2 linked regions of the Notamacropus eugenii genome follow. The protein of the gene in region 2 binds, or shares a complex with, the protein of the main gene of each other region. Links are inferred from orthologs where the notes say so. Each region holds a gene or a part of one and is shown on either strand. Other genes may lie near its edges.

What was found.
Region 1: the proteins of SPINDOC (region 2) and SPIN1 are in contact, whole or in part, in a crystal structure (PDB 7CNA), measured with the Homo sapiens proteins. The link is inferred for Notamacropus eugenii from reciprocal best matches to the Homo sapiens genes SPINDOC and SPIN1. Residues at the interface, in NP_612480.1 of Homo sapiens: Phe256, Ala258, Pro259, Ala260, Val262, His264, Phe265, Thr266, Asp267, Ser269, Phe270, Pro271, Gly273, Phe274, Val275, Leu276, Gln277, Leu278, Phe279, Ser280; in NP_006708.2 of Homo sapiens: Met154, Thr169, Tyr170, Glu171, Pro174, Pro206, Val209, Val210, Leu213, Lys216, Gln217, Val218, Glu219, Tyr220, Thr229, Val232, Val242, Tyr243, Ile245, Phe247, Asp249, Asp250, Tyr254, Val255, Tyr256, Asp257, Leu258, Val259, Lys260, Thr261.

What each region holds. Positions count from the first base shown.
Region 1 is NC_092874.1:368,718,022-368,734,534, forward strand, and holds the start of SPIN1 (spindlin-1), read left to right. Parts: upstream 1-7,928; 5' UTR 7,929-8,022; intron 8,023-16,513. UniProt on the Homo sapiens protein: Chromatin reader that specifically recognizes and binds histone H3 both trimethylated at 'Lys-4' and 'Lys-9' (H3K4me3K9me3) and is involved in piRNA-mediated retrotransposon silencing during spermatogenesis.
Region 2 is NC_092873.1:16,654,613-16,670,934, forward strand, and holds the start of SPINDOC (spindlin interactor and repressor of chromatin-binding protein), read left to right. Parts: upstream 1-8,282; 5' UTR 8,283-8,289; coding exon of another isoform or gene 8,290-8,321; 5' UTR 8,322-8,407; intron 8,408-8,517; coding exon of another isoform or gene 8,518-8,525; coding exon 8,526-8,739; intron 8,740-12,886; coding exon 12,887-13,210; intron 13,211-13,293; coding exon 13,294-13,404; intron 13,405-13,528; coding exon 13,529-13,681; intron 13,682-15,618; coding exon 15,619-15,822; intron 15,823-16,322. UniProt on the Homo sapiens protein: Chromatin protein that stabilizes SPIN1 and enhances its association with histone H3 trimethylated at both 'Lys-4' and 'Lys-9' (H3K4me3K9me3).

The sequences.
Region 1 (16,513 bases), on a different chromosome or scaffold from region 2:
CGTAGGATTCCAATGATGATCTCCACGGAGAGGCGTATAACATGTATCTTGCCACCTTCTACATCTTTCTCACACTATCACCCTTCCTCCTCCCCCATCTTTCATGGCATTACTGAAAAAAAAATTATAAAATCTGCATTGTGAAGTAGAGAATACTCCTGTTAAGCAAACTTAAATGTTACATTTTCCTTAAATGACAAAATTTCATGCTTGTATTTCTCTGGAGCCTTATATCTCATTTGGTATGCACTCCCATATTAAACTTATGTGTAATAGTGTAGTTATTCCAATATAGGCTCTGGCTCACTAGTCTGGAAGTGTTGCCAAGGAGACTCAGGACACCAGAAGTATCTATGGCAACTAAGCAGACTTTTCCTCAGATTTCTCAGGACTTGTGATGTTGACCTTGGAATTGAAGACACTAGGAAGAAGAAGGATACAAAGAGATACATTTTGACCAACCAAGATGAATGAGTTGAGGCACAGACATGATCACCCAGTCTCTCAAGTATTCTATCCCAACCTGTGGAGCAGATCAATTTTCTTGTGGATGATGGAGATCGAAAGCTGCTGGGTAACTGGAATGAGCTTGGATTCCTGGGCAGTCTCTACTCTTTCTTTCTTCCTGCTCAATAAAGAAAGATGGAAGATCCCGTGTCCTGCTTTACTGTGAAATGATCACTTTCTCTTCTCTTTCTGCCCAGAAAAGGGAGGAGGAAAGAGAAGAAACAATCAACTCATGCTTTATAGGTTTTGTTAAGGGTAACAAAGAACAAAGGGTAACTTACGACATCCTATCAGGTATAATGTGAGCTTGCATATATTATATCTGGGCTCACCACTATTGCACATGAGCTCTGTTAAAAGGAAGAGCAAATTTAATAGGCTTGTATCTTATATTCTTATTCCTCTCCCAAATTACAAACTCCATGAGATCTGAAACAATAATTAAAATATACAATTTCTAGAACAATAATAACTATACACATACATACATTTGCATGTATGTATACTGTATATATGTGCACATATACACATATGTAAAACAGCTATTATTTCATTTGATACTTATAACAACCCTGGGAGGTAGGCTATTATTATCCACATTTTACAGATGAGAAAACTAAGGCAAACAGGATAAGCGACTTGCCCAGGGTCACACAGCTAGTAAATATCCGAGGCTAGATTTAAACTCAGATCTTACTGATTTCAGGTCCAGCCTTATCCATTAAGCCATCCAGAAAACCCATAGAACAGTGTTCTGCACTCAATATGTTGCACCTATGATAATGGATTGGTGAAAGATTTCCCAGATCTGCATTGAATTAAGTTCACACCGCTTTAACTGAATTTTTAAATTGAACTTTTTCTTCTAGTCCTCAGAGTTTTAAACATTGGAGGTGGGATGAATGTGAAATGTTGTGATTTAGGAATTACCTTTTGAATAAGATCACTTGAACAATAAAGATTGAATTGTTCTTTTTTTAAGTTGTGTATTTTGAAACAATTTTTATAAATATTGACCAAAATTTTTCCATCTCAAGAGAATTTTTTAAAATTATAACTTTTGGGCAAGTGTTTTTTTGTGTATCTTTTTTTATTTTAATCTACAGCTTCTAATGGGGTCCCAGATCAGCATTCCATCTCCCACCTCCAAGGCTTTGTATACATATATAACATTTCTCACACTTAAAATGTATTCCCTCCTCAATTTTACTTATGAGGTGCTAGGGTGCTTGTGTTTGGACCCCAATTCCAAAATCACATTTCTCCCTAGCCTCAAAAAACTATCCTTGATAGTTTTCTCCCCCGCCTATGCCTAGCAATAACTCATGAATGGATCCCAGTAAGACAAACTACCTTGCCCTGCAATTATTCATGAATGGGCCCCCAGTAAAACAAACTATCTTTCCCCATCAAAAGAACAAACTGACCTCTAAAGAAATTCTCTTGTAAAAATAGGACTATCTTATAACCACAGAATTATCATGTACTGATTCCCAAAGTTATGATATTCAATCTAGAGGTCAAGCTATATACATCAACTTTCAAAGCTATCTTGCTATAGACATAATAGACCAAAAATACAGCTCTGAGAAATTTCTTACTCCCCCCCATTAGCAGTAGTGAATGAAGCCTGTGACCAAGGTTGTAAGTTATCACCTAATTAGCATATCTGATAGATAATTCACTACTTTCCCTATATAAGCTTTAACATCACTCACATCACTCCTATTAAGTCGCAGGTTTGTTAAGGAGCTCTGCCCACTATATTGGCATTACAATAAATCTTTACCAACTTCACTTGAAGAATGCTTGAGTCTGTAAATTCATTCCAGATGACCCTTTCCAATACTCCATTTCTTGAGGGGTCCCTGAGACCCCCACCCCAAGTCTAATCTCATCACTACCTCTTGAGCTTCTTTCTAGGATCAACTCAGATACTTCTTGAAAAAGCCAGTCATTAGTGTCTTTTCATTCCTTAAGTTACCTCATATTTACTTCTTGACTTACTCATTTGTTTCTAGAATATAAGGTTCTTGAGGGCCACTATAAGTTTTCCTTTGTCTTCTTATCCCTAAAGTTCAACATAAGGGTCTTGTATATAGTGTGAGCTTAAAATTTTTTTTTGCCAAATTGAATTGAACCTCTTCCTTTCTTTCTGACATTCTTTGACCACTTTTGACCAGCAGTGACAGGTGAGATTGGATTGGATTCAGAAAATTATTCCTCTTAAAGTTCTTAGCCACTACACCAGCAGTATCTTATTTGAAAATTTGTCTAAAGCAATTACTTAATTTTAGAAAATATACTGATATTCATCATTTTTAAGATACTCAGCATGGTGTCAATCATGGTCTCAGCAACTTTAATAGTTGACTCCCTGTTAGGGGCAAACTATTAGAGTTACTGTTGAGTAACTAAATGTTGGTCTAAATGTGTATATAATCTTCACCTCACAAATTTATGGACCTATGGAACATTAGATTTAGAACTGGAAGGGACTGTTCACTTTGAGACACAACCCCATTTTCAGAAAACAAAACAGTCCAGAGATTTACCTACGTTTATTCAGATAACAAGTCACACAGATTTGAAACCTTGATTTCATCTAGTCTCCCTCCTTCTTCCTCATGCCACATACGTAGATGCTGAATCTTGTTATTTCTTCCTCCAAAGCATCCCTTACAATTGTCTTCTCAAATGTCAGCTATTTTAGTTGAAGTCCTAGTGATCTCACACCTGGATTCTTTCAATAGCTTTTCAATTGGTTTCCCTGTTTCAAATTCCTCTTTTCTAATCCAATCTCCTGCTGCCACAGTGATTTTCCTAAAGAGTAAATCTGATCATGTCACTCTCCTACTTAGTATGTTAGTTCCTTATTGCTTCTAAGAAAATATATAAGGGTAACCCAGGGCTCAAGTACATTTGCATAAGGCATACATTGCCTTTATTCATAGGAAATGGTTACTCAACAGCCCATACCTATAGAAGGGGTAGAGCTTGGAAGAAAGATCATTGTTCTGGCTTCCAGCTTCAAGAAAGGACATATGTGACTCCAGATCCTTTCCAAAGAGAGGTAACTGAAGGGAGAAAAAGACTCTAAGTAAGGGAGCTGGCACGTCAATTGTGTCTTTATCCCCAGCTTATCATGCTAGAAATTTCAGGCAATTTCCCCATAGATGAGATCTAGGACTCTCTGTCTCTTATGATAGAATTGAACTATTTCCTTACTGATGGGAAGTTTCATTAACTCTGAGAATTATTTGTCATAATCTCATCTGTGTAACTTCTCTGATTCCTATTTACTTAGGCAAATGGCTTAGGTAAACAGGTTTATTTGCTATCCACTATGTTTGGTATTTGTATAACTAACATTTGTTTGGAAGGGAGTCAAGCCTTTGGAGTCAATCTTTGCTTGGAGCACTCCTTCCCCATTAAAGGAGAGCAATCAGGAGCAAAGCTCGAACCTAAAAATTATTTCCCCTAGACTAACAATATTTAAGTGCAGAATTAGATAAAATCATCCAGCTTCATGTTCTCTAGAGATGTCTATTCACCCTTTCCAAGGAGCCACGTCTAGATAGTTGTGGAGTCTTATAACCCATGTTAGCAACACGCACATGCACACGCACATGAGCACACACACACACACACACACCCTAGCCCAAATCTACCTGTCTAGCCTTATCATACGTTACTCTTCAAAATAAAATTGTCTTTACCATTCCACATACAAAGTATTCTCTCTCCTACTACTGTGACTTTTCCCCTGCCTATTCCTTATTCCCTCCTTTACCTCTGCTTCTTAGAATTCCTGTTTTCTTTCAAGACTCATTTTAAACTCCACCTTCTCCCTGAAGTCCTTCCTGATCTTTTCAGCTCCTAGCACTTTCCCTCTCAAAATTATAAAAATTCCAAAATAAATTGTATTCATTTTGTATGTATTCTGCATAGTATGCCTTCTGAACTATAAAATGGACCATAGCAGATTTGGAAAGAATCCTAACAAAAACCTGTACAATATTAAGAACACATAGAAGTCTAAGACACCATTACTACTTTTGATCAAAAAGAAGAAAGAAGACTGATAAATATTTATCGTGTACATAATAAACAGCTCAGAAACCCACAAAAGTATTTCTAGAATAAGCAGGTATACCTTCACTAAACAAAACCAAAGACGATAACAAGGTTGCACCACTGGATTTGCTAAAGGTAACTAAACAATGGCTTACCTCCTGATGGAACTCATAAAACTAATATCCAGGAAGAGAATCAGAAAGTCCTCCATGAGTTGCATCGACACAAATATGGTGAAACAATATTTTGATATAAAAGTGTCAAACAAACATCTGGGTCACGTTATTTCATTTGTGAAGATAAAGAGGTTTATGATGGTAATTCTGGGTTATTGCCAGCAGTCAAGCCAAAATCTAGGAAAGAGGATGCAGGCTATAAGCATTTATTTAGTACCTACTAGATAACAAGTATTGTGCTAAGTGCTTTATGGATGTTTTCTCCCACAACCACCATTACAGGTAGGTGCTGCTATGATCCCCAGTTTACAGTGGAGGAAACTGAAGCAAAGAAAGGTTAAGTAACTTGCCCAGGGTCACACAACTAGTAAGTACATGAGGATGGATAAACTCAGGTCTTTCTGATTCCAGGCCCAGGGAGGGCCCTTTATACCACACCACCTACTTTCTTAAAACTATCTGCAGCTGCTAAAGTCAAAAAGTAATTTCAAAAACTACAAAAGGGTAGTCCGAGATGCATGAGGATGACGATGATGATGATGATAGTAAACAACTCTGGAGTGAACAAAATATTCTTCATGGGTCACATTAACTAAACCACCCATATGTATGTGTATATACACACACGTGTGTGTGTGTTGAACAAATTTATTATCACAAGGATTTATTTGTAGGATTTTTCAGGTTGCCTTAGGGAATTTCGGAGACATTTGGAGTTTGACGCTTCTGATCTTCAAAATGGGGTTTGTGATAGTGACACCATAAGATCAGCTCGTTGGTACAGAGTTACAGAAAAGTCATCCTTAAGAAGTCTTGACTGATTAACGCAGGTTATTTATGGAGATAGTAAAAACTGTACAACATTTCACTGGTGGACATGTGGAAAGCAATCTAAACCTAAGCAATACTAGTCTCAATATATAATTTTGGAATGATAAAATGAAACATAACAGGTTTTGATAATATCTAATAACTAAAAAACTCATACAACATTACTAAAAGTCTAGCATTGAAAGAAAGGATGAAATTTGAAAATTTTCTTATCCAAAAAGAGCAAAGAGAAATGATGCCCCAAGAACATATGATAAACTGCTGAAAAATTTAACAGAAAACTTTTGGAACAAGCAGACATCATTTCACCATGGAATAATGAAGACTGACAATAGGTAAGACAATCTTGAACTTCTTAGATGTAGTTAAAAGTAGTTGAATCCTAGATAGAGACTAAACAATGGTCCAAAAGTTTTTAGGAAAGGAGGAACTTCTAATAACAATTCTAGATCAGGTTATTAGCACCAGAAATTATAGCACGGCTACTCTTAAGGAAGCCACACTTATTGATCAGTGCAGATTATGCAAGGAAATAGTGGAAATATTGTAACCCATTAGTGAAAGCTCCAAAAATTTAGTGCCTACCAAATACCTAACAAGCAATTACCTGGTACCTAGAATTATAAATTAGCAGTTCACTGTCTTTTATAAACCAATGAAAAATTCCACATACTACAAACATGAAACTAAAAATATTCTTTAGGATTCACCAACAGCAACAAAAACTACAAGAAGCAGAGCATTATCTCAGACAAATCTACTGTCAACAACCACTTGGATATAACTTTGAACCATTAAAATTTAAAATCAATGATTTTAAGAGATGTTGCCATAGCAAATACTCATAATTTTCAAGTTATGTGAAATATGAAGCTTTGAAAATACAAAGAGCTAGCGGAAGAAATTAAAATCACATGGGAACAGGATGAGGTACATATCATCTCTGTCATCCTATCTGCCACTGGAGTTATCGCAAAAATACTACTTTTAATTGGGCCTACAGAATATGAGTTTGGATCCCATCACTTTCATTCAATTACAAAAAAAGTATTATTTTATATTATTATAATTTGCCTGTGAAGTATTCTGCAGAGTACTAAAAAAAGAAAAAAAATAATTTATACCAAACCATTTCTGGCTGAATTCCATCAAAAAATGTAAGAAAGAAAAGCAGTAATAGTGATAATAACCAACATTTTTAAAGAGTTTTAAATCTTGCAAAAGATTTTACATGTATTATTTCACTGAGGCTTCACAGCAGTCCTGCAGTATGTGTAGTATAGGTACTGCTATACCCATTTTAGAGATTAAGACACTGAGGTTCAGAAAGATTAAGTGACTTGGTCATGCTAAAATAGCTAATGTCATATTCAAGATTTGAACTCAAGTCTTTCTGAATCCAATTCTATCACTGTTCACTGTTACTCTACTTTTTCTTTTATGATCACAGATTTACCAATTATTTGAAGTTCCCCAAATTGCATGCCATTTTGGTAATTTCCCCACAAAACTTATTTTTCAATCATAACAATTTTTAAACCTATCAATTAAATCAATCAACAAGCATTTATTAAGCATTCATTATGTGCAAAATACTTAACAGTGCAAAGGACTAGGGATATAAACTAGAGAAAAATGAAACAATCTCTGCCCTCAAGATGCTTACATTCTAACAGGGGAGATAGCATGCAAATATATACATTTTAGCACCCATTCTGAGCTCATTCTCCCAATCTCTATTAGGTCTAGTGGGCCAAATTCTCAGAAAGAGACCAACTTCTTCATCCAGAATTTTTCAGGATAACTCTGAGACTTGAGGTTTTTCTATTAGTATTGTTGATGAGCCCCCACCAGTGTGATTCCCATTTACTATCCATTTGATATATATCAACAAGGATGTTTACTAAAGTGGTATAGTAAGAACAATTGGTACAAAACATCACCCTCCAAAAAAATGCTTAAAAGATAGTCTCTCACAAATACACACAGAGTAAAGTGTGTTCAAGCTTAGAGAGAACTTACGGTCAATGGGTAGTTAACTCATAGCTCCTAGAGTTATATGAAAGTTCCTTTGTCCCTTCCTTCAATCTTCATGAACTTCTCCTGAGGTGCCCTTGTAAAATCCTGAAGTTTCATTTCTTTTACTTCACTTTATTCATGTTCTATGAAGCTGCCTTTACTGTCTAGTTTTCTCTCCTTCAGCTGCAAGATGGATGTATTGCTTGTTCCTGGTACAATCTCTTCAATGACATGAACAATGGGAGGGAGGAGGAGTGTGACACTCCCTATGACCTCACTCACTCCTTGCTGGCTGCCCACTTATACAGATACAAAGGCCTGCCTTCTTAAAGCACTCTTGAAGCTTACCTCCTAAAGTAGATAATGGATTATCCCAGTGGAAGCTCCTTCTCTAATGTACATAGGATCACAGGTATGTCTATTTCTTTCAGCCAATTTCAATATATTTCATCATCTTATTTCATCTAATGGTTCAAAGCACTTTATTCCTTCCTATCTTAATTTTATGTTGTATACAGCTAACTTATACCTTTGATTTATTAACTCTGAAATGAAGATACTAGGTTGTAAAGCATTGTGTTAGTTATTTTAATGGGGTGGTGTTTGAAACACCTCTCTTACATAAATGTATATAAAATGCATCCAAAATGAATACAGAGTAGTCGGGAAAGGGAAATCACTAAAAGCTAAGAGGATCAGGAAAAGTTTCACGTATAAAGAGGCACTTGAGTTGTCATAAAAAAATGCAAGGATTCCAAGAGGTGGTGATGAGTAGTGAGTTCATTCCAGGCATGGGACATATACAGAACATAAAGATGGGCACTGGTATGCCACATGTATGAAACAGTGAATACACTTGTATGGCTGTGTCTCATATGCATGTGAGGAAATAGCATGCAGGAAGACAAGAAAGGTAGAAAAGGGCAAAATTTAAGGAAATCTAAATGTCAAAATACAGAATATGTACAAAATGAATACAGGGGCAGCTAGATGTCACAGTGGATGGAGTGCTCAGCCTGGAGTCAGAAAGATTCATCTTTCTAAATCTGACTTCAGACAAGAACAAGCTGGGTGACCCTGGGCAAGTCACTTAATCCTGTTTGCCTTAGTTTCCTCATCTGTAAAGTGAATTGGAGAAGGAAATAGCAAACTACTCCACTATCTTTGCCAAGAAAACCCCAAATGAGGTCATAAAGAGTTGAACATGATTGAAACAACCGAACAACAAATGTCAAAATAGTAAATTTTAATATTTGATCCTAGAAATAATAAGAAACCACTGGAGTTGGTTGAATAAGACATGTGACATGATCAGACCTGTGCTTTAGTGAAATTACTTTAGTGTCTCTGTACAGTATGGATTCTAGTGGGGAAAACTTGAGGTAGAGAGACTAATTAGGAGATTATTACAAGTAATCCAAGTCAGATGTGATGAGGGCCTGAAATGGGCTTGTGGACTTGTGAGTGAAGAGAATGGGACATTTGTCAAACATAGTATGGAAATATAAACTGCAAGTTTCAATGTGGCATAAGTATGTGAGAGTAGTAATCAAGGATGACATTTAGGAATTTGGGTGACTAAAAAGATTGTGGTGCCTTCAACAGTAACAGGAAAGTTCAGAAGGGAATAGGAGATGATAATGAGTTCCTTTAGACATGCTAAGTATGAGATACTATGTCACATCCAGCTTGCAATATTGAATAGGCAGTTGGTGATGTGAGACTGGAGGTAGGGAGAGAGAGCTGGATAAATAAATGAAAATTACGAACAGAGATGAAACTGACGAGACCATCAAGTGAGAACATATGGAAACAAAAGAGAAGAGAACCCAGGATAGGGTTTTGGGGGATACTCACAGTTAGTGGATGTGACTTGGATGAAGAGCCATCAAAGGAGATGGCATTCAGATAGGTGAGAGGAGAACTTGGAGAGAGCAACAAATCAAAAACCTAGAGAGAAGAGAGAATTTGAGGACTGGAGAGTACCACAAGATGGGAAGTCACAGGAGAGATTAAGTCTATTAAGATCACCTATTGAATACTTATTTTAAAAATAATGCTGACTACTTTCAAAGCACAAATCTTTTATTACAGTAAAATTCAACAGATTTTAAAAACCTTTGTCCCTTATTTCTTTTGAGGGTGATGTTTTGATTTCTATAATCCACACAAAATTCATTCAATAGAGCTGGCTTGCTTATCTATATAGAATTTCCTAAAAATTAACGTATGAATCTGTGTCTGTCTGTACATATATGTATATATATGTATATATATACACACATATAAAATATGTACATATACATATATATGTGTAGGTATAGGTATAGTATATATGTATACATACTTAAATGAATCTGTAACTTCAGGAGTTTCAACCAAGAATACAAAATGCTTTCTCATCCTGTGCAACACTCATTATGAGAGTACAAAAAAACCCCAACACTTTGCCTGGCCACCTGTCATTCATTGTGCTCATCACATGACCAGTACACCGTCTTCTCTTTCTGTCATACTAAATGTGTGTGAGTATATAGATATGTATGTATGCATGTGTATATATACACATATATATACATATACATACATAAGTATATGTGTAATATAAATACAGGATATGGATACAGATATGGATAATAGCGATCATATAAATATAGATTATATATCAATACAGAAAGATAGATAAATATTTTTTTACTGAACTGCCATGGTCTTCTGGTTATGTATATATGCATGTATTTGCACATACGCATTCGAATAAGGACCTTGGTGTCTGGTACCCTATCCTGCCAGATGATCCTCAGAATCTTTCTAAGACAGTTCAAATGGAAGCGATTCAGTTTTGTGGCATGGCGCTGGTAGACTGTCCATGCTTCATAGGCATACAACAATGAAGTAAGTATAACAACTCTGTAGACCTTCAGTTCGGCAGTCAGTCTAAAACCTCTTCTCTCCCATACTTTTCTTTGGAGCCTCCCAAACACTGATTTAGCTCTGGCAATGCATGCATCAACCTCATCAATGTGTAAACCCCTGGAAAGTACACTACCAAGGTACCAACTTCTCCATTTGTTGTAATCAATGTTTCTACATATGGATGGTGTAGTGCTGGCCAATGGAGCACCTGTGTTTTCTTGGTGTTAATTATTAGGCCAAAATTATCACAGGCAGCAGAGAATTGATCCATAGTTTGTTGCATCTCAGCTTCAGAGGTTGTACAATCATCTGCAAACAGAAAATCATGCACCAACACTCCCTCCACTTTGGTCTTGGCTTGTAGCCTTTTCAAATTGAAGAATTTACCATCAGTATGGTAGCTGACCTTGGTGCCCTGTTCATCCTCATTGAAAGCATTTGACAACATGGCTGGAAACATCATGCTAAAAAGCATGGGAGCAAGCACACAGCCCTGTTTCACTCCACTGGTGACTTAGAAGGCACAAGAGCATTGTCCACTATCCAGAACCTGGGCAAACATGCCATCATGAAATTGACATACGATACTGATGAACTTCTCTGGGCAACCAAATTTTGACAAAATTTTCCATAAGCCCTCACAACTCACAATGTCAACGGCCTTGGTCAGATCTACAAACATTGTACATAGACCTCTGTTCTGCTCCTGGCATTTCTCCTGGAGTTGTCGAGCAGCAAACACCGTACTGACTGTTCCTCAAGTCTTTATGAAGCCACACTGGCTCTCAGATAGATGACCATCTTCCAAGTGAAGGATGCATAACTCTGATGGGCTGGTCGCATTGTTTGAAAGCAAAATGTACACTTGCCAATAAGACTATTTTATGGAGAACTCACATGGGGCAGGCGACCACATGGTGGTCAGAAGAAACAATACAAGGATACTCTCAAGGTCTCTCTCAAGAACTTTGGATTTGATTATGCGGCATGAGAGACACTGGCACAGGACCACTCAACATGGCATGTCCACATCAGAAAGGGTGTTGTGCTGTATGAGCGAGGCACAAAGTGAATGTAAGATCTGTAAATTTGAAGTATTCATCCCAAATATTCACATGGACTATCTGTGCCCAGTCTGTGGTAGAGTATTTCAAGCCTGTATTGGTCTGATCAGCCACAGTCAGACACATTGAAACCTGAGTTTATCATGGTGATGTCATTTGGTCCTCTTTGAGAATGAAGGACAACAGCCAAGGTATGTACACATACAGGCATGTGTATGTATGTCAGTACTTGGCACTTTTCCAAATTGTAGGTATTGACAATATACAAGCACATTGGTTCACACGACTTAAAAAGTAAATATTTATCATTAATCAGAAGAAAGATAACACAGAGCAATGGATACAGAGTCATCCTTGAAACCAGGAAGACTTCAGTTTATGTATTCTGACCCATACTGGCTTTGTGACTCTGGGCAAACCTCTCATTGCTCAGGGCAACTCTCTGAGAATGTAAATTACAGGTGCAAATCTGCTTTAATAAAATGAATTTCCTTGGGAGTTCCCTACACCAATGAAATCAGAGGTCTAGTCCTGATCCCCACCCCATCCCCATAAATCCTGAAATCAAATAGTCTCACTTCATAACCATACTGAACACTGAGCAAACATCCCCCTGCTGTGTCCCCTTCTCTCTCCCCCTAACCCCACCTACCAAGGACCACTATAACCTCATAACAGAGTAGAATTCATAGGGCCTCAACTGCACAAGCCATGTTCATTCTTTCAGCCATGTCATATTTATCATTTTGCTGAGTTTCCAACAATTTCTCAGTCTTTCTTAACCCAGTATCCCTAAGTCAAACTCATCTTCTCCTCATAGAACTTTGATAACTCTCCTGCTGCTTTATACTGGTCAAAGTACCCCCCACAAGAAATGTTTTAACTCAAAGGCAAAGATAGAGTTCTATCAGACTTCCCTTGTCTGGAGGCCAAATGCAATTAGACTTTCTGCAAACCTTGTATCCAATTCTGCCACAGTCCCTATAAGAATTCCTCTCTGAGTCTGTTCCATATACTGAACTCTTGCAAATTTCACACTTTTGGGATCACTCCTAATTCTCAGGAGTACAATTCAGCCAACTGTGAACCTTCTTGGGGCCCATGTCCAGGAAATATGAAAGTTTCCTTCTCCCATCATTCCTGGTGACATTCTGGAATAACAGGAGGTAAAGAAATGGTGGTAGTTGGTTGAGAAAAACTAAACCACTCCTCTTTTTCTCCTCTACTACCCAATCCGTGCACAGTTTGAAGAAATATTGCAGCCCTCCTTCCTCAGTTTTTATATTATATGTATTTACTAAATTATATTAAATGTATTTATATTAAATGTATCTCATGTACTGTCTCCTCTTTGGGTTCACTTTCCTTAGTATTCTAATTTTCTGACTGTAAGGGATCCACATCTTTCTTTTATGAAATTCTGTCTTAAAATTTTTTAGTGCTTTCAGTCTCAGAAAATATATGTCCAATGACATATTTTAAATTTCAAATAATTTTAGAGCCCTTTGTAAGGAGGTTACATAGAATCAAACAACAAAATAAGAGCAAATGACTTGGACACAAGCTGAAACTAAAATGGCAAATGAAATAATCACTTTTTAACAGCAATTTCCCTTTATGAGAAAGCCACAAAAAGAAGTTAGAGTGTATGAAAGGTAAAGGGATTACAATGGGATCAATAAACAGAAGTCTTCAAATATCAGAGGCTTTATCCTTTATAGAGTTCTGAGCTGGAAGTACTTTTGGAATTCAGAAGGACAAGACAAAAGTTAAGAAGTACACAAGTTGATGTGGTCATGGATATAGAAGAGAATGAGAATTGACATGAGTTGCAAGAAATGAGTATTAAAAGGTAGAACTGAGAGTGAGGAAAGTTTCTGGTTGAGTTATATATTCTTTATGTACATATTCCAAGGACAGGAAATAAATTCAGGGTTTGATCATTTTCCTGAGTATGAAAACATGAAAGTAATTGCGTCTGGTTAGAAAGGGCATCACCAAATGAAGAAAGCATATTTTAAGAACCACCAACCTTTCCATCAATTACTCTGTTTCATGTTGTCTACTTTAGTTCTCCAAGTTGTCACTACTAGGTTTATTTCCAAAAATGATTAGATAAAAAGGAAAAGAACCTATGTTCTAAAATGTTTATAGCAGTTTTTTTTGTGGTGGTAAAGAATTGGAAATTTCAGGGATGCCCATCAATTGCAGAATAGCTGAACAAGTTGTGGTATATGATTGTGATGGAATACTACTGGGCTATATGAAAGGATTAGCTGAATCATCTTAGAAAAACATGGAAAGATTTGCATGAAATAATGAAAAGTGAAATGAGCAGAACCAAGAGAACATTGTATACAGTAACAGTAATATTGTTTTAAGAAAAACTTTGAGGAAATAAGTCATTTTGAATATTATAAATACACAAATTAACTATAAAGGATATATGGAGAAAGACTATCTGCATATAGAGAAATAACTGATAAATAGAAGTATATATAGAATAATTTATATTATATAGTATACACACGTTATTTACATATGTATATATACGAGACATAAAGAGAAAGAGAAAAAAACACCTATTTATGTCTAATGGTGGCTATTCCTAGGGCAAGTGGAGGGGGGCAGGGAAGGAAAGAAAAGAAAGAAAGGAAAGAAAATTACATGATACATTTGTTGCATATTTTAAAAAGAGTAGCAGGTTGTACATGGTAGATTTGCAATTTCATGTGCAATCATCTTTTTTAATTATACTATATTATGAAAATGTTTGTTCTATTCCATAAATTAAACATAATATAAATTTTTATAAATAACAAAAATAAAGAAATAATTAAATAAAGAAATTTATCATAGAACCATAGACATAGGTCTGATTCATCTCAGAGATTATCTACTCAAACACCTTCATGTTGCAGATGAGTAAACTGAGGCCCAGGAAAAGTTAAATAAATTGTCCAATGTCAGAAGTGTGATTTAAATCCAAGGCAAATGAATGTAAATCTTATCAACTTTTTCAATTGGAGGTTTACTGTAAATCTAAATGAAAATGAAACTACATATTTTTAATTTTTCTTTATTATAATCTTGATAAATATGAACATTATGTACATATAAACTCATAAATTTCTATTAAATATTGCTTTAATTTTAAAGTACACATTGAATCAGTCAGATAGGTGACGCAGTAGATAGAACACCGGGCTACAGTCAGGAAGACCTGAATTCAAATCCAGTCTCAGATGTATACTAATTGTATAACCCTTGTCAAGTAACAACTTCTAATTTGCCTCAATTTCCTCATCTATAAAGTCAGGATAATAACACCTACCTCCTAGGGTTGTTGGGGGCATCAAATAAGATCATAATTGCAGAGTTTAGCATAATGTCTGACACATAGTAGGGATTATGTGTTAGCTTTTATAATTAATAATTAATTGTAATAATAATTAGTAACTGCAATTATTTGCCAAAGAGTTAGGAAGTACATTTCATCATTTTTTGTAGTTGTGATCAGTCAATGCATTGATCAGAGTTCTTAAGTCTTTTGAAATTGTTTTCCTTTATATACTATGACTACTATTTTAAAAAATGGTTTTCTTGACTTCACTCTGCATAAGTTGAATTCAAGTCTATCCAAATTTTTCTGAATCATCTCTTTTGTCAATTTTTTACTGTATAATAATATTCCACAGCATTCATGTATTGTAATTTGTTCAGCCACTCCACACTTGATTGGAATCCACTTTATTTCAAGTTCTTTGCTATAACAAAAAAATGACACTATAAATATTTTAGTATATATGGTTCCTTCCTTCTTTCTTTGATTTCTTTGATATATTCTGAGTAATGGGTCAAATTGTTAGTTTAGTGACTTTGGGAAAGAGGTAAAAAGTTGTTTTTCATGAGAGATAGCAATTGAAAATGCATAAAGTTGAGAGATTAAATGTCTTGTTGGAAGAAGAGTAGAGGACAGTATTACTAGATCCCAGAGTAAAGTAAGGGGAGGGAGGGCAGGGGTTGAGGTTTAAGAATATTGAAAAAGTAGGAGAGGGGAAGGTCATGAAGGTCTTTAAAAGCCAAACAGAGAATTTCATATTTGATTTTAGAGATGATATGGAACCATCAGAGTTTATTGAAAGGAGTATGACACAGTCAGACTGAGCTGTAGGAAGATAAATTTGACAGCTGAGTAAAGGATAGACTGAAATGAGCAGAGACTTGAGGCTCAGAGGTCAACCAAAAGATTATAAGGTATGACCTTGATGAAGAAACATTTTACTGAATTGGCAAGGGTGATGTGTTTAACACTGTTTTAAGAAGAGCGATTTGACAGTGGAGTAGAGGATGGAATAGAATGAGAAGACAGGACACAGTGAGACCAATCAGCCAGCAATAGTCCAAAAGTGAAGCGATGAATACCTGAAACAAAATGATGGCAGTGTCAGAGAGAAATTGGTGGATATACAAGAGATCTTGTGAAGATAGAATAGATAGGATTTGGCAACAAATTGGATCTAGAGAGATAAGAGTGGGTGCGGATTTGAGAATGACACATTGCAAATCTGAGTAACTGAGAGGAAGGTGGTACCCATGACAATAATATAGAAATTAAGAAGAAGAAAGGATTGAGGGTAAAATAATGAGTTCAATTTTGGAAAAGTGGAATTTAAGATGTCTGAAGAGGATTTTCTGCACAGAGATGATCATTGAATCTATGAGATCTGATGAGATCACTGATTAAAATATCATAGAGGAAAAATAGAAGAGGGTCCAGAGGACAGACACTTGATCGGGTTGGAGAAGATAGAATAAAATGGGATCCCTTGTGTATGTGGAACAGTTAGCCTTGGCAAGGAGAAGGGCTACTTCTTCCGATGATATAGGGTAAAGGAGGAGAACATGGCAGAAGGCACCTGA
Region 2 (16,322 bases):
GCTTTGTTGGATCCAAAGTCCTGATTTCCATTTCAGGAAATTTGGTTACTGAGCATGTAAGGCCTTTGAAAGTAGAGGGAGCCAGAAATGCTTGGATTTCTACCTCAGTCTATTTGAATTGGCCAGGGGAAGCTGGAGGAAACAGCTGGTGGCCCTGTGTTCCTGCTTCTTCAAATGCTGAGTGTCCTGTGTGCTGTGACCTGTGAGCCAGGACTCTCAGCTCACATGGTCTGAGTTAGATCATGGAAAAGACCCCAAAGTAGCAGTTTCTCTCCTTGACCCTGACTCCAAACCCACAGTTTTCCTTTTGGAAAATCTTTAAAACAACACTCAGGTATAGTTCATATCTAGATTGTCCTTAAATGTGGGTAACAGGGTCCCCAAATTCCACTTAGGAACTCCATGTATACTGTAGATTTAGGGTATGCAACAGCCTCTATTTCATGCCCCCCCAAAAAAGAGAGCAAGAGAGCAGGTTCTCCCAGGAGCCCCAGAACAAATATAGAGATATACAACTAGCAAATTGTCCACTGGCCATGTCCATCCCCCAAAGGGAAAGGTCTTTGAAGCTGTCAAACAAGCCTCCCCCTTCACTATGTAAGCAGATCACTGGCTTTGCTCTCTAAGGAGGATGCTGGGGGCTGGGGCAGACTGTCTTCTAGATTCTGTCTTCTTGGTGCATCAGTCCATCAACATTTATGAAGCGCTTTAATTATTCATTAATCATTAAGCATTACAGAAGCACATGGCAGAAGGAGAGATCCTAAAAATAGACGTCCCCACCTTGGCAGCTACCTCACAGGCTGTCCTGAGTTCGAGAGCTACGGAGTTTAAGTTTTTGGACACTTGGCCTTCTAGAGAGAGGGAAGATTTTGTTGCCATTAAGACTGTGAACTCTTTTAGGTAAGGGATTGTCCCATGCCCCTTTCTGTATTCCCCATGCTTGGCACAGCTCCTGGCACCATTGGAGTATGTATGTTTTAATTGTTATTATCATTGTTGCTGTAATTAAGGTAAAACAGGTAAAGTACTTTGCAAACCTTAATGCGCTATGTGTGTGGTAGACATCACCGGTCACCATTGTCTTGGGGACAAACCCCAGTCACTCGGAAATCCTCAGATGAACTTCTTGTATCCTTTCCTTCAGGGACCGGCACTCCTGTCTGTCACCTTGGGAGGTCCACTATGGAACACAGTTACCCTTGTCCCCATTTTATAGAGGAGGAGACTGAGTCAGAGCCCTGGAGGGGACAAAGTAAAGTCCTGAAGCTGGATTTACACTTGTCTTTCCCGCTTATTCCAGCATACTGTACTGTACAAGACTCCCCCTACCACAGAGACAGGTCTTTAGGGTCCATCTCTCCCCTCATTTTAGAAACGAATAAACTGAGACCAGGAAAGAGGAGGGGATTTACCCCCTGGTCACTCAGACATTACCTGGCCAAGAGCCAAGACTCCTGACCAGTCACTTACCTGCTTCACTAGGACCTAGAATGGTTTCACAGTCAGAATTCAATAAGTGCCTACAATGTGCCAGGCCATAAATGAGGCTCTGGTGATGCAAAACCACAAAAAATCCTGAGCCTATTTTTGCCCCCCAAAGAGCTTCTGGGGGCTGCAACCCAAGGAGGCAAGGCAATTGGATGGACAGTGTTAGAGTCACAAGACCTGGCTTCAAATCCCAATTCTGCTGCCTACTACCCCTGTGACTTGGGGCAGATTTCTGCTTTTTCTGAATCTCAGTTTCTTCCTCAAATGGGCAGGGGATGATCTGAGTAGGAGCTTTCCAGCAAACAGTACAAACCCACAGGCGAGATTCATTGTTTGGAGAGGACCTGAAGAGGACCTGACCCATGCTAGGCTCTTCTGAGATGGAAAGGATGGTAAATTTCCAACTGACCCAAATGGATAATGCCCTTTTTAAAGGAAATGGTTTGGGACAGAGGATACTGGAAAGAATGCTGTCTTTAGTTTCAGAAGAACTGGATTCAAATCCTGCTTTGGATGATAATTAGCTATAAGACCTTGGACAAGCCATGCCACCCCTGTGCCTTGACTTACCCAGCTGTGAAGTAAAGGCATCTCACTCGATGGTCTCTATGATCTTGTGTTGATCTGTCCTCGGATGTTTCAATTTTGAGCAGTGCTGAACAGCATGCCCCCTTGTACAATGCATTTGGATGGCTTGTCTGGGACCCAAGAATCCTTTCTTTTGGAGGGAAAGCTGGCTCAATTCATTTTTTAAAATGTGACCAGAGGGTAAAGGATTGAAGCCTCATCAACTTCAACTCTCCAGGCATGCTCCATTTGGATTGCCCTATTAATGCAGAAATCCATTGGAGGAATTTTCTATCCAAGGCAGTTTGGTTTCTCCCTTGGATGTGAGAGTTTGACTTTCAGTTAACCCAAAGTCTCAAATCACTGTTGGAAGAGCCTCATATGCCTTAGAAATTCATCTGACTAGATGGGGGGAGGGGTTGGGGAGAGGGGGACTTTCTCCCCCTCTGCCTCTTTTTTAAAATCTATTTTTGCTGTTCTTAAGTGTTGTTTTCAGAGTTTAACTTAACACAGGTGTGAGCTATGAGAATTTTGAAAATTTGAATTTGTCCAGCTATGTACTGGGGGAAAGAGGGGTGGAAGCTCTAGGCACCCCTAATTATGAGAAGTGACCACTTTCACCAGATTTAATTTGGGGAATGTCTAAAAACTGGGCATTTCAGACTTTGTGGGACCCATGACATGGAGGGCAGAGCACTGAAAACAAATAAAATAATTTAATTAAAAATATGTATTATCATATTTTCTCCTCTCAACAATTCTGGGGGATAGTCAGTCAAGGACTGTGCGGAATGGACAATTGCTGGGCCCCCTCCCCAAATTGCCTGACAGCTATCCTGGATCAGGGATAGGGACCAATGTGAACCCTGTTTGATTTATGGGAGACCATGGGGGATTAGCAGAGGAATCACCAGTCAATTTGAGGGTTTCTTCCAACAACCTAATGAGATTATACAGGCCATTGTTTGGAGGAAGGTGAAGGGCTCCCCCAGGAAAGGGTGAGAGGGTGAGTACCCCCTCTGGAATCTGATCACTTGGTTTTTAGAGACTGGAGCTGACTCTTGATGACTGGCTGCCTGAGAACCAACTGCTCATTCTGGCAGTTTATGACTGCAAGAAGCAAGCTCAGGCCTTTTTTCACCAACAAACATTTTTAAGTGCCTACTATGTGCCAGGCACTGTGCTGAGGAAAGATGGTCCTTGACTTACAATGTGGGAGGGGTCGGGGTCGGGGAACAACATAGGAAAGAAAGCTGAAGAGAGAGGGTGTGATTGGTATCATGAAAAGAGAGGAGGACAAGGGAGGGAGCCCAAGTAAAAAAATGAGCGGGTGCCCGGTGGGAGATGAGATGTTAACCTTGTTCTCTTTCCTTGCCCTCCGGGCAGAGGGACAGAGGGTCCCCGATACTGTGTGAGTTCCTGCAAGAGAATAGGTAGGTGATAACGACATGTCTTTTCTCCCTTTCCCGTGAACCCCTTTCTCAAGCGTAGCGGAGGCAAGCAGGGCATTTAGCGATGCACACAGGGCAGCGGAAGACTCCTGCTTCTGGACGGGATGACGGGAAAGCTTTTTGACCACGTCCCTGTCCCCAACCTCTCCTGGGATTCCTTTTTCCTTAAAAAAAGAAGGGAGTGGAGTCCCCTACTTGATTCTGACTCAGCGTCTCACTTAGAGAGCAAAGCCAGTGAGCCGCTTGGACAGGGCAGCTCTGAATTGCCCTGAACGGAGTTCGCTTGTTCAGCACCCTGCAAAGCGCACACCCTCAAAGGGAGTCTCAAAAGAGTAGGTCGGACTCCATAACTCCAATACCGCTGGTGAGTCCGTCGATAAACACGTATTTAATGCCTACTATGTTCTGGTCCTCTTTGTAGCATCTGTTCTTAGCACAGTGCCTGACGCATAGCGGACATTTAATAAATATTTATTGACTATTGACGAAGAGCTCGAGATGGAAATAGGAAAAAGAAAGACAAGTCTTGCTCTCGGGAGTTTACAATCGAAATGGGAATTCAACACACACAAGAAAGCTGAAAGGGGGCAGGAAGAGGGAAAGGAAGACTCCTTCTACCTCAGACCTCATAGTCCTGGCCTTATCACCTTCCTCTCCTAGGATGGAAGCTTTCCAAAGAAGGAGAGAATTTTTGAGGTTTGTTTTCCTCTCCCCGGTACCTAGCACATACCCTAATACTGAAATGGCTCTGTGTTTTTAAAAGATGTAAATCGATTGTCTTAACAAAGAGACTAAAAGATTCCCCAAAAGATTTCAGTTGGTAAACACTTGACTTGCCAAAAAGAGAGATGGAAAACGAAGGGCAAACTACGTTTAGAATATTGCCCGGCTTGTTCCGTCTTAAGCAGAAAGATGCTGGGAGGTGCTGAGCGGTATCGTCTCAGGGGAGGAGCAGAGGAAGCCGCGAATCCAGAGGGTTTAAGGTCAGCCGCGACCTTTAAGAGTAACTTTTAATCTGAACCCCTTCCAGTCCTGCCCAAGACTAGAGATATCAGAGGTGTGACTGATAAGGGTCATTCTGGCTTAATAGCCCTCTCAGCGCTAAACTTCCCAGCCTTCCCCCAAGCTAGGGTGTTGTGGGTAGAGCCTAATAATAACGAGCGCTAGAGTGTATATGATGTCCATCAGATTCTTTTCTTTCAGGCAGCTAGTGACACAGTGGACAGAGCACCGGACCTGGAGTCAGGAAGTTCAAATCTGACCTTGTGTGACCCTGAACAAATCATTTCACCCTGTTTGCCTCAGTTTCCTCATCTGTAAAATGAGCTGGAGAAGGAAATGACAACTTACTCCAGTATCTCTGCCAAGAAAATCCCAAATGAAATCATGAAGAGTTCGACACAACTGAACAACAGCAAACTACCAGGTTTGCTACTACCAGGTATACTTTATAGATATTATCATATTTTTCCCCAATTGATAAATGGTCAAAGGATATGAACAGGGAGTTTTCAGAGGAAGAAATTAAAACTATCTATAACCGTATGAAAAAAATGTTCTAAATCAAGAGATGCAAATCAAAACAACTCTGAGGTACCACATCCCACCTATCAGATTGGCTAACGTGACAAAACAGGAAGATGATAAATGTTGGAGGTGGGAGAGTTGGAACACTAATTCATTGTTGGTGGAGCTGTAAGCTGATCCAGCCACTCTGGAGAGCAATTTGGAACTGTGCCCAAAGGGCTACAAAAATGTACATATCCTTTGATCTAGCAATATCTCTTCTGGGACTCCAACCCAAAGAGATCATAGAGATGAGAAAGGGTCCCACATGTACAAAAATATTTTATAGCAGCTCTCTTTGTGGAAGCCAAAAACTGGAAATCAATGGGACGCCCATCAATTGGGGAATGGCTGAACAAGTTGTGGTGTATGAATGTAATGGAATACTATTGTGCTATAAGAAATGATGAACAGGAAGACTTCAGAGAGGCCTGGAAGGACTTATATGAACTGATGCTGAGCGAAAGGAGAAGAACCAGGAGAATTTTGTACACAGCAACAACCACAGTGTTCGAGGAATTTTTCTGGTAGACTTAGTACTTCATTGTAATGCAAGGACTTAAAAAATTTCCAGTGGACTCGAGGCAAAATGCCTTCCACATCCAGAGAAAGGACTGGATCACAGATAGAAGCAGACCATTTTCTTTTGTATTACGTTTTGCTTTGTTTGGTTTTGTTTTAAGATTTCTCCCATTTATTTTAATTCTTCTATGCAACACGTATTTAATAGGAACGTATGTGTAGAACCTATATAAGACTGTATGCTATCTCAGGGAGGAAGTGGGAAGTGAGGGGGAGGGAGCGAGAGGGAGGGGAAAAAATCTAAGATACATGAAAGTGATTGTTGAACACTGAAAACAAATAAAATAATTTAATTAAAAATATATATTATCATATTTTCTTCTCTCCACAATTCTGAGGGATAGGTGATATTATTATCCCTATTGTACAGTTGAGGAAACTGAGGAAGACAGAAGTTAAGTGACTTGCCCATAGTCACAGTTAGTGTGTGAGGCTAGATTTGAACTCAGGTCTTCACTTTAATAACCAATTATTGAATAAGGACTAATGTTTTTCCCTTCCTATGTCATCATTCTCTTCTAGGTCAAATCAGCCTGTGAAGAATAGGGCTGATAATGAGACTGGATTTAACATTTTCCTCAATCTTGTTCAGATCCTACCCAACTTATTCTACTCAGGCATGTGTGTGTGTGTGTGTGTGCATGTGTGTGTGAGTGTGAATGTGTGTAGAGCTTTTGTCTAGATTGCCCTGGGATGGGAGGGACTGATCTGGGAGTAAAACTGACATAATCAGTTCCTCATTAGAATGGATCCGCCTCCCATTATAATATTCATTATTTTCATTAATTGTTCACTAATCAGAGTTGACTGCCAACTATCAGGAACACCTAATCTTCCAAGGGCATACAAGTATCAATAGGCTGCCATCATCCTTCCTTGGTCCATGAGAGATGGCTAAATGACCATCCTTTATTAAGTATTTGCTAGCCACAATTAATAAAATGATTAATTACCCAGGAATTATATCTCTATATCTCTCAAGCTTTTTATACATCACTCCTCCATAGCTCTCTGGGAGGGAGGAGAGGGATGAATGCAAGGGGAAATTCAGGCCATGGAAAAAAAATAAGACAGTAATACAAGAATGGGTTTTTTAGTTCTTTCTCCAGATACACAGGGGCTCAGCATTTTCTCAGCCCAATCAGGAGTCGAATCCTCTTAAGTTGACACCACCCAGCACATTCAGGGCACCCTCAGAAAACCCTTCCAGCCCTGAGACTTGGGTGGGAAAGGAATATTTCTATTGAAAAAAAACAATTAAAATACAATAAACTTGATTTAGAGTCTGGAAATTGTCACAGTGGAGGCTCCACTTTGGATAATCGAAGCCCCCTTATTTTGCTGTGGCTCTCCTTCTCCCCAAGTGTAATCAGTCACCCTGAGAGCATGACCTGTCTTACTTCCTTTTTTGTCTCTGTCTAGAGCACTTAGCTCTAGCACTTAGCACAGTACTGGGCACATAGTAAGCACTTAACCAGTGCTCCATGTCTGGGCAGACAGTAGGTGCCTCAGCTGTACTCTATGGCTGGGCAGACAGTAGGCACTTCAGCAGTGCTCTGTGTCTGGGCACATAGAAAGCACTTAATCAATGTTCTGTGTCTGGGCAGAGAGTAGGTGCTTAAGCAGTGCTCCTTGTCTGGGCACATAGTAAGCACTTAACCAGTGCTCCATGTCTGAGCAGACAGTAGGTGCCTGAGCTGTACTCCTTGGCTGGGCAGACAGTACGCACTTAAGCGGTGCCCCCGTGTCTGGGCAGACAGTAGGCGCTTGAGCGGTGCCCCGTGGCTGGGCAGACAGAAGGCGCTTGAGCGGTGCCCCGTGTCTGGGCAGACGGTAGGCGCTTGAGCGGTGCCCCGTGTCTGGGCAGACGGTAGGCGCTTGAGCGGTGCCCCGTGTCTGGGCAGACGGTAGGCGCTTGAGCGGTGCCCCGTGTCTGGGCAGACGGTAGGCGCTTGAGCGGTGCCCCGTGTCTGGGCAGACGGTAGGCGCTTGAGCGGTGCCCCGTGTCTGGGCAGACGGTAGGCGCTTGAGCGGTGCCCCGTGTCTGGGCAGACGGTAGGCGCCTTGAGCGGTGCCCCGTGTCTGGGCAGACGGTAGGCGCTTGAGCGGTGCCCCGTGTCTGGGCAGACGGTAGGCGCTTGAGCGGTGCCCCCGTGTCTGGGCAGACGGTAGGCGCTTGAGCGGTGCCCCGTGTCTGGGCAGACGGTAGGCGCTTGAGCGGTGCCCCGTGTCTGGGCAGACGGTAGGCGCTAGAGCGGTGCCCCGTGTCTGGGCAGACAGAAGGCGCTTGAGCGGTGCCCCGTGGCTAGGCAGACGGTAGGCACTTGAGCAATGCTCCTCCTTAGCTGCTGCATCCCCAGCCCGGAAGGCAAAGGCGAGACCGGGCCTCGTCCTCCCAGGCCGGGCCCAGACTGCACTTTACTTTGGCCGGTTTGAATTTTTGTTCCCCCAGGGGAACGTTCGGAGGGCTGCCCTGCGGCCGCTGCGCCGCCTGGGGGCGCCCGAGAGCTCCCCGCCAGCGTTGCCGGCCCGGCGTCAGGGGGCGGGGCTCGCGAGGCGCAAGGTGGGCGGCGATTGGCGGCGGGCGGCCGCGGGGCGGGCCTAGGGGCGGGCTCCGGGCCCGGTTCGGACAATGAGCAACCATAGACGGGAGAGCGGCGCCGGGTGAGGGGCCCGGATTGAGGACGCTCCCCCCGCCGGGGTCCGCAGACTCTATGGTGGCGGGGAGGACCCGGGCTGGGCGGCGGCAGGTCCGCGGCACGCGGGCGGCGGGCGGTGGGCCCAGGCCGGCCGGGGAACGGCAGGGGCGGGGGTGGGGCCGGGCCGGGCCGCGCTGAGCCGCGCTCTCCGCCCCCGCCAGGCAGGACCATGGCCCTGAAGGCCGAGCCCGCGCCGCTGGACTGCATCCAGGTGACGCTCAAGTGCGAGGACGTGGAGGAGGTGCAAGTGGAGGACGACGGGGACGAGGGTGGGGACCGGGGGCCCCCGCCGCCCCGCCGCCGCCGCGCCCTGCCGCCCGCCGGGCCCCCTGCCGAGCCCGCCATCCCCATCCCCGCGGCGCTGCGAGAGCCGGTGCTCCGAGGTGAGGCCGCGGCGGGAGGGGGAGGGGGAAGGGGCGGCGGGGCGGGGCTGCCCCCCAGGGGGGCCTGAGGCCGACGTCCAGCTAGGGGGGAGGGGGAGGAACGCCAACGGAAGAAGGGGGAGGGGGAGCCTGGGGATGGGGCCCCCCTCGTCCGCTGCCCTTGTCACGCTACGGCCCGGGGCCAGGTACCGTGCAGGGGCGTCCTGGGGGGGCCCGGGGGACCCGGGCATGCGCTTCCGTGCCCCGTGTTCCCGAAATCCGCCTCCAGGCTTGTGCACGCACGTGCACCGTGTGTGGACGGACGGACGGACACGCGTGCGGACAATGTGACCGCCCGCGGGTGCGAGGGCAGGCTGCGAAGCCGTGGCCCCCACGCCTCGTGTCATCCGTGACTGCGTGCGCACGCGTGCGCATCTCCGTGTCTGTAACTGTATTTTGTGGCTCCGTGTTCAGTCGTGCCCCCCCTCGGTGACCCCGGGGGGTCTTCTTGGCAGAGGTCCCGCCGGTGCTTTGCCATTGCTTTCTCCAGCGCATTTTACAGATGAGGAAACTGAGGCAAGCGGGGTGTAATGACCTGCCCAGGGTCACATAGCAAGGGAGTGCCTGCGCCTGGATTTAAACCCAGGTTCTCCTGACCCCAGCCCCAGCCCTCTATCCGTGCAGCACCACCTTGCTGCCCATGTAATTGTATGTAGACATAGACGTGTCTGCACGTACACACAGAGACGTGTTTGTGTACATGCTGCCTGTGCAAACTGCTCAGTGTATCCACACACGTGACATATGTGTTTGTATGGGCCTGTGTGCACACATAGATGTGATCCATACCATCTGCCTCTTCTCTCCACCTCACCCCCCACTCCCCTGGAAACCTGTCCCTCTGGGGCAGGTAACTTGTCCAAGGGTACCCACAGGATCCCAGGGACCCTCCTCATTTTTCCATGTGTCTAAATACAACTTTACCATTGTACATGTGTGTATTCACATGTACATAAACACACATGCACATATAGATTGATGTTTACAGAAAGGCCTCCTCCATCTACATATACATATGTAGTGTGTATAATTCTATTACATGTATGTGTGTTGCACATATATACCTGTAAACACATAATAGGTGAAAAGGAGGTCCGGCAAGGTCATGAGGTCACCCAGAGGCGGGATTGGTCTGGAATGGCTTGGGGTTTAGTTGTGAATGAATGAAAAAGACAAGCATTTATGAAGTGCCTAATGTATGCGAGCACCTTCCCAAGGGTTGGGGATGCCCTACCAAAGGGAGACATCCTCATCCGGGTTTCCATTCTGGTTGGGGAAGGCATCCACCAAAATGCAGATAGACACCCCGTAAATCCTCCGTGTTGGTGGTGCATCCCCCAGGCTGCAGCACCAGGAGTGGCTGTCCACAGGGACAGAGCAGTGCAGAGGTCTTGATGATTTGGGGGTGTCTGTGAAGGCTGGCTGGGCTCTTTGCTCCTGAGAGTGGGATCCAGTGAGGGTGAGCCATTGCTCCTTCCCCACTCCCTCTTCCCTCTTCTCCCCCTCTTTTTTATCCCCTTCCCTCCCTATATTTCCTCTCCTTCTCATCCTCCCCCTTCCCCCCCTCATCTCTTCTGCTCCTCTCCCTGCCCCTTCTCCACCACTCAGTCTTTCCCTCTTGCCTCTTCCTGGTGTCTCTCTCTGGAATGGCTAAGCACCCCCCTCCTCCCCCCCAGAGCAGGTGCAGATGGGCATCCCTGCAGAGGTCCCTGGGGCCCAAGTGCTCTGCCTTTGGCCTGTGATAAAATAGGACTCTTGGCAGTAGGCGTCCCTGGAAGCTGGGGACAGGCCTCACTTCCCTGATGCTGTGGGTGGGGGCTGCATCCCTGCCCATTGCAGACATAGCTGAGTTTTCCCTTGGTTTCTGGTAGTGTGGGCTCCCTAACCTGGGAGGCCACAGCAGCGTCAGAAGTGCTGAGTTCCCATTCTGCAGGGGGAACATTGCCTTGGAGAGTGGGCCTTTCTCAAGGGCAGGGTCTGCTCCCTGCTCCTCATTTCTGCCTCAGTGCCTGGGTGCTTGGAGGGAGGCACCTGGGGTAAGCTGAGTGGGAAAAGTGGATTGTGGGTATCAGTGCAGAGGACACTTGTTGCAGTCTGCTGAGGGCTGCTTCGCTCACCCCTAAACCCTGGGTGGGCCAGCTCTTGGAATTGGCCTTCAAGGCTGTCAGGTACCCAGCTCTTGTCGGGTCTAAATATCTGAATTTTCCATCTTGAACCACTGGGTCCTGGGAAGCCACCCGCTGCTGCTTCTCTCAGTGACTTTTGGTGAAGCACCCACGGAAGTGAGACCTAAATGTGGATGTGTCTCTTTTGTTTTTTACAGTACATCAATTTCTCAATGTGCCTTCCTCCATGGACCTTCCCTTGTAACAAATAAAAATTGGAGCAAAGACCAAGAAAAGGTCTTCTTGTGGCAGTTAGGCACCATCCTGTCCCAGTAGCCATCCACCTCTCTTCTGAGACTTGGGCAGAGACAGTTTTCTAAATTTGCAGGCTATAAGCAGTGGGGTTTTTGTAGGACATTTGAAAACCAATGGGGGTGATACAGAAGGCCAGAGTGGGAATGAACAGAGGTGCCATCAAAGTACACTCCTGGACTTTGGCAGCCCGGGGTCCTGGGACAGAGAGGCCACACAGAGGGGCTGCCATTCAGAATCCAAGGACTCCTTCCTCTAGACCTGTCCAGAATTAGGGATGGGAAACAGTTGGGAGAGGGGGGTTTGGAGAGATGTGGCAAGGAAAGGAGGTCAGTGGTTGTCAGCCAGCTCTCTCCTCCATCCTCACTCACACGTAGCAGTCCCTGTATCAGGAAGCATCTACTATGTGCTGGGCACAAAGAGAGACAGCTCCTGGGAACTCCAGTGCATCTGTGATCTCCTTGGTTCAGAAATTCCCTCTGTTGGCACAGATTGCTGCCCATCCTGGACAGCTCTTGTTGGTCCCTGTACATAGATAAAAGTCCACAAAGAGTTAAACAAGGTAATTTTGTTGGCGAGGTGCTGACAGCTGGTGTCGTAGCTGGTGGCTTGAGCCGAGTCTTTAAGGTGCACATTTTACATTCAAGACTCAAGGTGGGAGATGATGTAGTCAGAACAGGAGCCCCCAGGGTGGGCAGTGACCCTGGTGGAGTCATGAAGGGACACCAGAGGGAGATTACTGAGGTGGGGAGCTGCTGGGGAAGACTGCCCACAATGCATCAGGGCCCATTTGTGTGCCCCCGTGGTGGCCCAAGGAGCCAAAGTATTAGCCTTGGCATGAAGAGGTTGCTTTGGCAGCCAGGTGGAGTATGGAAAGGAGGGGGTGTCAAGGCAGGGATATAGTGAGGCTGGCACTATAGTTCAGGTGTGAGGTGATGAGGGCCTAGGCTGAGGCTGGGGAGGGGAGAAACACTGTGAAGGGGAAACCTGCCAACCAACCATGGAGGAATTGTGAGCAAGGGCTCGAGGGAGACCCCCAGTGCCCAGGCTCCCCTAGGAAGTGTGAAAGATGGCAGGAACATGGCCAGTCCTGCTCTGGTCATATGATAGAGCTTGAGAAACCTGGGGGACATCTGGTTCAGGATGCCTGAGAGGCAGGTGGTGACTGATGCCAGATGTAGCTGAGGACAGAGGTTAGGGCTGAGTGCACACAGGAGATCACCGAACATGGGGAAGATGCTGAGATCCCCAAGGGGACGAGTATGAAAGTAGGGAGAAGAGGGTCTGGGATCGAGCTTGGGGGATGCAATCAAGAGGAGGAGAACAGAGGGGTAGCCCCAAAACCCCAAGAGAAGACTCTCCTCCAGAGGGTTCTGGGAGAATGAGGCTTGTGAGCAAAGGCTGATGGATCTGGCGGTGAGGAACATTAGTCACTTGGGAGGGGGCAATTCCACCCAAGCCCCCTGGGTTGAGGGTACCATATGTGAGTGTGAGAGTGCTCCATGAGACAGATGTTGTTGGCTACTCATGATCTGCTGGTGTGGGGAGGGCCTATTGGGAGGATGGTGAAGAGGAAGGCTTTTCTTCAGCTGGGAAGAGCCCTCCTGTTGGGTTGGCATCCTGGGCTTCTCTCACGGTGAGCTCCCTTCTCTCCCCTCCCTTGTCTGTCTCACTCCCCTGCCCTTCCTTAGTGGGACAACCTGAGAACAGCCCCCTCCCTGGGCAGTGCCAGCCAGAGACCAGTGCTGCTGTTACAGAGGAGGCCGAGCCACTGCAGTCCTGGGAGCAAGAGTACTTGGTAGGGAACAGCCCTGGGGGCAGTGGCCGGGCCCTGTGCATGGTATGTGGCCAGGAGCTCCCCACCCCTTCCGCCCGAAGTGCCCGGCGCCACATCCTCCGCCAGCACCCCCACACCCTGGGCCTGAGCCCCGGGGAGAAGAGCAACATCCTTGAGGCCTGGAGCGAGGGCGTGGCCTTGCTAGATTCCCTGGAGTCTCCATCTTCCCCCAGCAGGGGTAGGTAGGAGGGGACTGAGGGGGGGCCATGGGGCAGAGCTGGGGGGAGTCAGGGTCTTGAGGGGCTTTACTCTCTGCCTCAGATCTTCCTGAGACACCAGCTGAGATTGTGGTGCTTCTGGACTCTGAGGAAAAGCCTGAATCACAGTCAACTCGGAACCGACCCCGGGGACTCCGGCCCCTACAGCCTCCAGGTCAGACCCCTGAGAGAGGGAGCTGGGGCAGGCACAGCAGGGTCAGGCAGAACAGGGCTGCCACTCTGGGCCAGGAGCCGGGCTAATGGGCAGGCTTTCACACAGTTGGGCCACTCTCTGTCAGCAGCTCCCCCAGCCATAGAAGGAGGGACCAAGAAGTTGCGGAACCAGAGATGTAAGGAGCTGTCTGGAGAAGCCCCTCCCAAGAAGAAGAAGGGGAGGGGCCGCACTTCTACCAGGGCCAAGACCATGGCCAGGCCCTCAGTCCCAAGCCCAGGTAAGGGGGTACTGAGCCTGAGTTTCGGGGGCAGGACCAGGCTCTTTGGGACTGGAGAGATGGGACCAGAAGGGGAGGGATGGACATTTTAGGAGAGTTGCCATGAGGAGTGGCACAGGGAGTCAGTGGGGGTGGTTTAGGTAAAGGATCTCCTTGCAGCAGTGAGGCCCAGTCAGCAGGGGTCTGTGGGGGTGTCCAGCTTCCTTCAGCAGCAGGGGGTGGTGAGAGTGATCCAGGGATCCACAGAACCTGAGAGAAGAGGAGGGGATAGCACTGAACTGGTTTACCAAGGGGTCAGGATGGGGAGGGGAGGAGAGAGTGGCTTGGGAGGGAACTAGGGTGTGGCAGCCTTGGCCTATCTTTGAGAACAAAGAACAGGCTGAGGGCTTGGAAATCAGTGGGGAAAATTAGAATGATAAAAGATGGTAATGGGTACAAAATCATCTGAGTAAAATTAAGCAGGGAATGCCAGGTTGTGGAGGAAGAGGACCTAAGGCAGCTGAAATCAAAGAGTGTAGCATGTAAGCAGCTAGGTGATGCAGTGGAGTAGGAGGACCTGAGTTCAAATCCTGTCTGGGACACTAACTGGGTGACCCTGGGCAAGTCATTTAACCACTGTTTGCCTCAGTTTACCCAATTGTAAAATGGGGATAGTGATAGCACCTCCTGCCAAGGTTGTTGTAACATTCAAATGAGATCACCTGTGAAGAGGCACTTTGCAAACCCAAAGTACTATATAGATACTAGGGATGGTGGTGATGATCTTGGTGATGATGGTGGTGGTTCTGATGGTGGTAGTGATGGTGATGATGATGGTGGTGGTGGTGATGGTGGTGGTGATGGTGTTGGTGGTGGTGATGATGATGGCGATGGTGATGGTGGTGGTGGTGGTGATGATGATGGCGATGGTGATGGTGGTGGTGGTGGTGATGGTGGTGGTTCTGATGGTGGTAGTGATGGTGATGATGATGGTGGTGGTGGGATGGTGGTGATGATGATGATGATGGTGGTGGTGGTGATGGTGATGATGGTGGTGATGGTGATGATGCTGGTGGTGATGATGGTGGTGGTAGTGATGATTGTGATGATGATGGTGATGGTAATGATGATGATTATGATGGTGGTGGTGGTGATGGTGGTGGTGATGGTGATGATGGTGGTGATGGTGATGATGCTGGTGGTGATGATGATGGTGGTGGTGATGGTAGTAGTGATGATTGTGATGATGATGGTGATGGTGGTGGTGGTGATGGTGATGATGGTGGTGATGGTGATGGTGGTGGTGATGATGATGGTGGTGGTGATGATGGTGGTAGTGATGGTGATGATGATGATGGTGGTGGTGATGGTGGTGATGGTGGTGGTGATGATGATGATGATGATGGTGATGATGATGATGGTGGTGATGGTAGTGATGGTGATGGTGGCGGTGGTGATGATGGTGGTAGTGATGGTGATGATGATGGTGGTGGTGGTGGTGGTGGTGATGATGGTGGTGGTGATGATGATGATGGTGGTGATTGTGGTAATGGTGGTGATGGTGGTGGTGATGGTGGTGGTGATGATGATGGTGGTGGTGATGATGATGGTGGTGATTGTGGTAATGGTGATGATGGTGGTGGCGATGATGGTGGTAGTGATGGTGATGATGATGATGGTGGTGGTGATGGTGGTGGTGGTGGTGATGGTAGTGGTGGTGATGGTGGTAGTGATGATTGTGATGATGATGGTGGTGGTGGTGGTAATGAAGATGCTGGTGGGGATGGTGATGATGATGATGGTGGTGGTGATGATGGTGGTGGTGGTGGTGATTGTGATGATGGTAGTGGTGATGATGTTGCTGCCAGAGCTTAAACCTTAGGAACCAGCCAGCCCAGCCTCTTCAGCGTCCAAACATAAGGAAAGTGACTGCCATGTTGTTCTCTGTCCCTCCGCAGCATTCCTCCCCCTTCCACATGTCACCTTAGAGCCCTTCTCAGCGCCCACCGAAGTCCGACACTTCACGGACGGCAGCTTCCCACCAGGCTTCGTGCTCCAGCTCTTCTCTCATAGCCAGCTGAAAGCCTCACAAGACAGGGCCTCCTCAAAGGAAGGAGTGCCAGCTGAGGGGAGCCCCAAGCAGCCTCCAAGTCCCTCCCCAGGTGAGCTGTTGGGCAAGCCTCTCAGACTCTGGTGATGGGAGAAGGGCCCTGGAAGGCAGGCCTGCCTCCCTCTCAGCCTCCCCTCCCTCCAGGACTCTTGTCTTGGCTCCACAGCAAAGCAGGCATCCTTTCAGAGGAAGGCTGTGACCCCGCACAGCTCTATCAACCTGGTCTGGTCTGAGAATCAAAGCTCAGGTTCCCATCAAGGAAAGCTGGCTCCTAGGCCAAGCTGGATTCTGGAGGATCCTGAGTCCAGCACAGGCCCATAGCAGGCCCTTGTAATAAGCATTTATGCTTATTGAACCTCCCTAATCCAGTTTAACACAGGATGGGACTGTCATGGACCTCTCTCTCTGGCATCCCTTTTGGTCTTTGGAATTTCCCTCTGATTAGGCACCAAGTGAGTAGGTGGACTCCCAGAGAGGAGACTGTTCTGACCCTCATCACCCTCCAAAGGAAGTGAGAGACAGGGACCCCAGAGCACATGGGAGGGAGCTTCT